Linked DNA regions of Oryzias latipes. The protein of the gene in region 1 purifies or fractionates together with the protein of each later gene. This does not show direct contact. Links are inferred from orthologs where the notes say so. Each region holds a gene or a part of one and is shown on either strand. Other genes may lie near its edges. The genes, in order: polr1b and protein POLR1D.

The links.
Region 2: the proteins of polr1b (region 1) and protein POLR1D purify together in Homo sapiens (affinity purification with mass spectrometry; 5 studies listed by BioGRID and IntAct, with this or other methods). This does not show direct contact. The link is inferred for Oryzias latipes from reciprocal best matches to the Homo sapiens genes POLR1B and POLR1D.

What each region holds. Positions count from the first base shown.
Region 1 is NC_019873.2:3,646,915-3,649,641, reverse strand, and holds part of polr1b (DNA-directed RNA polymerase I subunit RPA2), read left to right. Parts: intron 1-547; coding exon 548-722; intron 723-797; coding exon 798-1,079; intron 1,080-1,160; coding exon 1,161-1,294; intron 1,295-1,361; coding exon 1,362-1,532; intron 1,533-1,632; coding exon 1,633-1,789; intron 1,790-1,882; coding exon 1,883-2,079; intron 2,080-2,561; coding exon 2,562-2,727. UniProt on the Homo sapiens protein: Catalytic core component of RNA polymerase I (Pol I), a DNA-dependent RNA polymerase which synthesizes ribosomal RNA precursors using the four ribonucleoside triphosphates as substrates.
Region 2 is NC_019878.2:17,475,151-17,479,768, reverse strand, and holds protein POLR1D, read left to right. Parts: upstream 1-1,514; 5' UTR 1,515-1,572; exon of another isoform or gene 1,573-1,633; 5' UTR 1,634-1,653; coding exon 1,654-1,679; intron 1,680-2,128; coding exon 2,129-2,203; intron 2,204-3,588; coding exon 3,589-3,928; 3' UTR 3,929-4,418; downstream 4,419-4,618.

The DNA.
Region 1 (2,727 bases):
GGGAGAATCTGTCAATCAAATGCTTCGACCGTTCAATGTGGAACCACCCACTCTTATTAAGTCATGTGATTGGTCAGTTTATAACTTGAAAAAGTTGCGCTACAACAAAAATATGGGAAAAAAATAGGATTGTCAAGAAAATGTTTTAAAAAAAATTTTACAGACAAAGAAGGATTATTTGGACCAACAGAATGACTGAGTAACAGCTTTTCATTTTAGATTCTTGGAGTCAGAAGCTACTTCCTGTTTGGAACGCCAGGGGGAGGGGCCACTCAGTCTAGTTCTCTAATTGGCTACAGACCTTGTCAATGAATCTCCTCTGTGTTGTGTCTTCTGGACAGAAAGTGTTCAGTTTTGCCAAATTTTCATAAATATTTAATCGCGATCAGATCTTTGTTTTTATTCTGAAATCCTGGTCTCTCTTTTTTTCTATTTTTAGAGCGTATCCCCCCGGGATACATGAGGGAAGGCTGTACTGTAAATGTTATGACCTTGACTTTTAAATCTTAAAGTTCTAGTTTCATGTTCCTCGTCTTTAACACTGCAGGAGAGAATGACTGCATGGCTGGTGTCTGTGAAGCTGTCCTTTGACAAAAGAGGATCCAAAGTGTTTGCAAGGGGATGGAGCACAGAAAATGTCATAAAGATGCTGAACATGGGCTCTGATGTCACCAAACCTTTTGAATATCTCTTGGCTACTGGAAACCTAAATTCTAAGACGGGTGCATATCCACACTCTTTATATATATATTTTTAAACTTCAATAGTTGCTTTGTTCTAAATGTTTTCTTTCACAGGTCTCGGCATGCTGCAGAACTCGGGCCTCTGCGTTGTCGCTGACAAGCTGAACTTCATCCGCTACCTTTCTCACTTCCGCTGTGTGCACAGAGGAGCAGCGTTCGCCAAGATGAGGACCACCTCAGTCCGTAAGCTGCTGCCCGAGTCCTGGGGCTTCCTGTGTCCCGTCCACACTCCAGACGGAGAGCCTTGTGGACTCATGAACCACATGACTGCCAGCTGTGAGGTGGTGGCAGCATCCAGTCCCACCACGTCGCTGCCTGCACTGCTCTGTTCCCTCGGTAAGCTCCAAACATTTTTACAAAGTGCACATTGCTCCTCAGCGGCTGAAAATGGAAATGGTCCTGTTTTCGGTGTGTGAGGTGTTACTCCGGTGGATGGTACTCCTGCTCAGGCCTTCTCTGACTGCTACCCTGTGGTGTTGGATGGCTCTGTTGTTGGCTGGGTGGAGACCGACTTGGCTCCAGCTGTTGTTGATGCAATGCGGAGGTTCAAGGTACGAGAAGGATGTTAGACAAGTAGTGACCTTGGAAGCAGAAACCTGATGACTAACGTGTGTGCAGGTGCTGAGGGAGAGGAAGGTTCCTCCCTGGACTGAGATCGTCCTGGTTCCTAAAACTGGAAAAGCCAGCTTGTATCCAGGTCTGTTCCTCTTCACAACACCTTGCCGGATGATGCGGCCCGTTCAAAACCTGGCTCTTGGCAAACAGGAGTTCATTGGCACCTTTGAGCAGGTATATGTTTAGCTGGTGCACGTTGAAAGACATTCTTGCCATCGAGACGGTCATCGGAGGACAGCTGTCCAAGTAAAACGGGTTTACTTTTCTGCCGTAGCTTTACACCAATGTTGGAATTTTAGAAGAGGAGATTGAAGCAGGAGTTACCACACACCAGGAGCTCTTCCCTCACAGTATGCTGAGCGTGGTGGCAAACTTCATCCCTTTCTCAGACCACAACCAGAGTCCTAGAAACATGTACCAGTGTCAGATGGGTAAGTGGGTGGGATCAGAAATGTTCATTGAAGGCTAACACCAATTTGGAGTCCAAAGTCCTGAAATTGTTGACCCTAAACTGTTTGTTTCAGGTAAACAAACGATGGGCTTCCCTCTACACTCGTTTATGGATCGCTCGGACAATAAGCTGTACCGACTACAGACGCCACAGAGCGCCCTCGTCAGGCCCTACATGTACGATCACTACAATCTGGACAACTATCCAAGCGGCACAAACGCCATCGTCGCCGTCATATCCTACACCGGCTACGACATGGAAGATGCTATGGTGAATTCAACACAATAGTTTTTACATTTCTACAGATGGGATTTGATCATCTTTTGAGCTATTTTCAAAGCATTCCCAGTAGGGATGCTACTCCATTCTGATCATCCTCTTACAGATAGATCCATGAACGTCTTTATTTTCCTCGTCTGAGCTGGAATCTGGCTCTAAACTGTACGGCTGGATAGCTCTGATATTGGTCGACATTTTTGTTTCTCTGATAATGTTAGTTAGGGGTTGTGACGGGAATTGGTTTGCCTGAGATGGTGTAAACAAAGGCATGATGGGAAATGGAGGAAGGGTCACTCTATGCCAGCGGTCCCGCCCACAACTTCAGGGTGAATTTCTGATGAACTCCTGCTGGTCTTTGGTTTTTAGATTTAGGCTAAAAATGACTTCCTCCTAGTCTGAAGACCACCTGGAATGCTTTGAAAATAGATGTTCAGAGTGGGTCTCTACATTCTGACGTTCTTTGATCTTACTAGATTGTGAACAAGTCATCGTGGGAGAGAGGCTTTGCACATGGGAGCATCTACAAGACAGAATTGGTGGACCTTGCAGACAAAGTGAGGGGGGAAGATGCTGTGGTGTTTGGGACCAAGCCAGGGGACCCCAAAGTAAACGACAAGCTCGATGCTGATGGGCTCCCTC
Region 2 (4,618 bases), on another chromosome or scaffold:
CTTCAAGTGCGTGCTCCTGTCTGTGTCTGACTGGCTGCTTCTGTCCCTATCCTGCAGCTGGACATGAATTTAACATGAGGACACAAGGCTTCTCTGTCTCTGTAACAAAGCTGTGACATCACCACATCACACACAGACTTGTAGACATGCACAAGCAAGAGCAAACAGAAACACACAAGGGCTTTTTTTAGGCAGAAGCCCCTGAAATCTCCTCATCAATAAATAACGCCTTCCGGTTTTAACAGTAAATGCATTTTTGAGTCAGGAAGCAGTTGAAAAACAATCTATTTTAGACAAAAGCCACGCTGGGCTGATTTTTTTTAATAAGTGAAGGCTTGCAGATGCGTGTGACACGTTCTTAATCCTTCTTGTCTGAGTTCAAAGCTGTACTTGCTCATCTTTTTATATTAGGATACCGGTCCTGCACTTGCTCTCATTTTCCCACAGATTACTATCTAATCTTGGGAGAACTAGGCAGCGGCATGCAGGAGTTTCCTTTTTAGAAGATCAAAAGACTCTATGGCACTCATTTAAAAACTCAGGTGTATCAGGCACCCAGGTATCAGATATTTTACAAAAACCTCATTTGGATGTCTTTCATCCTACAAATACTAAACACACAAAGACAGCACGAGAACTGATGTGAACATTATTATATATTTATTTTTTGCATGCATTAGTAATAATACAAAAACTGAGCCTGCTGTAAATTACATTTTCAATTATTATTGTCAATTTTCTGCATTTACCTTAATAACGCCCCATCTGCAAAGCAATTACTAAAATATATATATATATATATTTTTGATACCATCAATGTTTAGATAAGCCCTCCCCCCATCTCTCAAACCCCCCGTTCACTGTCTGAGTCCAACCCCCCCTAGGAGCGAAAAGGGAGGACAGAAGAGGCGACAATGGTAATAACAGAAAAAGCCAGCATCACACACACTGACGCCGCTTACAGTGAAAGGATGCAGATGTGATGTTACCTCTTCAGGCTGCTCCTCTGCGCCGCGCCCGGGCCTCGAAGAGGGGCGGGGGTGGCGGGACAATTAGCAGCTGCGGGACCTCAGTCACGCAGTCGCCGCAACGGACGGCCCGTTCCGCAAACCTGCACGAAAACGCCCCCGTCACTTTGGTGCCTGGTCCCGCCCACTGCTGTCCGTCAAAGAGACTGGGCGGAGTTTGCCGCTGTCAATCCACAAAAAAAAGAAAAAAAAAGTAGAGGTGGCTTCAATGTCGCCTGCCCAAAAACGTCCATTCAGCGGGAATTAAAATCTTTTAATATGTTTATGATTCCGATATGTTAGAGGTAATAACATAAACGGATAAAGCTTCGGGATCATACAGGGCATGGAATATTTTTTGTTTTTCAATGTGACAATTACAACTATTATTTTAGTAACTAAATTACTTTAGAATAAATGTTTGGGTTCTAAAAACGGCGTGAATTTTACAAAAATGCATTATTTATTTAAAAAAAAATGTTATGGTTTAACAATATAAAACAATGAAATGATCAGGCATCTTTTGGTCATAAAATCAGGTCCTCGAAAGAAGGACCTCGCAGAGGTAAATAAATCCCCTAACATGAGCCTGTAGAAATTTCCTGAAATAATTCTGCGTTTTAAAGTCTTTAGGTGGTCAGGCATAATGGCTGAAGATAATGAATTGGAAAAGTAAGTATTTTTTATTTTTAGATTATCATCGATTAACTTGTTTACGTTTGCTCGGTTAAACTAATACATCGGGGGAATGGTGTCTGGTACCACCAGATTAGGCTAGCATGTTTGCATAATGCATTTCTGTAGCTATGGGGTTATTTTGGTTAGGGGACGGAGTGTATCTTGTGTAGCAGTCAACACACTCTGCCTTTTGGCAATCAACAGCTGTTCTCACTACGTGCTATAAGATCGGCTGAATCAGAGAGAGCCCCCTGCGAGACTAATGCCTCAGCTGGTCGGGTTAAACGGGGACACCGCTGATGTCCCAATTACTTATGATTCACTTCCTCCGCGTCTCCTATTTTCTTCCTCGCTCGCACATAATTATATTAGTCTCCCCTTGAGCTTTTATGTCATCTTGGTCTTCTGTTGTTATCCGCATTTTTCTACGTCTTTTCCTCCAGACGGGCTATAGAGGAACTCCTCAAGGAGACAGACAGAGCCAGGGTGAGAGCTGAGACCATGGGCCCTGCAGGATGGTGAGTTATGGTTCTGAAATGTCATCCCTGACAGCCTCCACATAAAACGCCATGTAAAATCTTACTTCATAGGTTTAGCTGTTTTTTTTGGAGGCTTCTATTATTGTTGTATTTGTGTTTAACTAGTTTTCTATTATAGATAATTCGTCAGGTTCCCAAAGACACTTGTCTCTCTTGGCATCTAAAAGCACACACATATAGACTAAATTTATTATTAATATTTATTTATTGATTGTGTGTCTGTAGTGATTCTATGTCTAAAAAAAACGGTATAACCCTGTGAACTTTCCTGGAATTGAAAATATGCTTTCAGACATTTTTATTTTCTGGGCTGACGCTGATTTATCAAAACTATTTTTTTCTTCTTGATTTATTTCAGATGTGAGAGGTCAAAGCTAATGTTCTGAAGCTGTCATTCACTCGTCATTTAATGCAGTTACAAAAGTCACTTGAAAGGAGGGGACAAAAGGCAAATAAAATTTTTTTTTAAAAGACTGTCCATAATTATAATGTTACCTAACTTAAACTTTTCACATTTTTTTGTCTATCCCAAACATTTACATGACAACGTTCTCTGAAGTCTGCAAGGCTTGTCTTTTGTGTAACAATTACAGTTTGAGTTTTTTCACACTGTGTCGCATTTACAATCATAGATTTATCTTGGTAACCAATATTTGTTGACTGATCTGTATTAATTAGATCGACAAATGTTTGCAAGTATATTGTTGCACAATGATTTCTTTTGCATGAAATTATTTATTGACCTATTCACTTTTTGTGTATTTGATCTGTTTGATGGTTAATGGGTTTCTCTTTGGATCTCCCTTCATTGAGTCTCTTGAAATGATAAGATTTATTTGTGTATGTTTAACAGATCTTAAACAAATTTAGAAGGACTTTATTCTTTTTTGTGGGTTTCTAATGAAGAGGTTTATGTTATTTTGTTTTTTAGGTCTGGTCCAAAAAAACTACAGAATATTAAAAAAAAGTTGGTTTATGTAATTTCCAGAAAACTTGCACCTCTTATCACACTATTTAGTAGTAAATTAAAGAATGACCCAGTATTTTTAAGTGTTAGAAAACATGGAAAAACAGCACAATACCATAATGTTTTATTTTCATGTGGGAACCTAACAAAAAGTGAAATTATACAAAAAGCAGTAAGGTGAGCATCTAACTCCCAACTTAAAGCAAAGTCATGCCCTTAATAGTTGTCCTATAATTTAAATTGTACTCTGGAGACAATTTGTCCTTTAATGGAAACGACTATACATCTGTCAGATATACTGATCAGATAACTGTCGCTTTTCACATTAGACTTTAGATTAAAAAAAAAACCTTAATTCTGAATTTTTAAGTGGTTGTGTTGTCTTCTTCTCTGTCAGGTTGAAATGTCCCCTGCAGAGCACCAACAAACGCTTTCTCCTCAACACTCTGCGCTCTACCGGCCTGCAGCGGCGAAACGATGAGCAGAGAACCGCAGACTCCAAAACAAGAGACCGCCTGACCCACAAGTCCCGTGACAGACGGTGTGACCGCAGCAGAACACCTCCGACAGACCACAGGAGTAATGGACGCCACAAAGACCATAAACATCACACCCGTTCAAACCGAGATAAGGAACTGGACAAAGATAAGAACAAATCTGACAGACACGGGGACAACAGCAGAGACAGGAAGCATGCCGATGGACCAAACGGAGACAGAAAAAGAAGTTCTTCATGAATGAACTTGCTGTGTTTTAAAGGTAGCCTTGATGCTCTACTGAAAAATTAATTGGCTGGAGGAGTATGGCTGACTTGAAATAGTTCTGTAGAGCCCTCTCACCCTCACAGAGACCCAGACAGACTAGAAGGACCTCTGCTGATCACAACGAATTGTACAGTGACAGAATATACAATTTGTATTACAGCTTTTGAATGAATGAATGAAGAGAGTAAAAGGAAATAAATATTTTGTGTTTTCAGGCATGAATAATTGATCCTCTTACAGTTCTAACATGAATCTTTATGCACCAGAACGAAACATCAAATATACTTTTTAGGATATAATCTAAAAATCATATCAAAGCTAATATTTGTTTTATCATGTTCCACTTTGTAAAGGTGGCTGTAGCTCCATTATAATGTCATTAACCATTCTTTTGTGGTTATCCACCACTGGTGTTTATATAAGCCATGCTGCTGTCGCCAAAGAGTAAACAAATTTTATATCCTGTCTAATGTTTTGAAATGTGCACAGCAGCTATCAGAACCGCTCTTGTTTTTCAAAGGAGAAAAGTGGTTTCCTTACACTCCCAGTCCCCGTGAAGACACAGTACGACTGTTATAGCTATGAATAAAAAGAAAAGATGAGAATTCCATCTTCCTGGACATCTACTTTAGCCGAAGGTGATGTTGTAACTTCACTATAGCT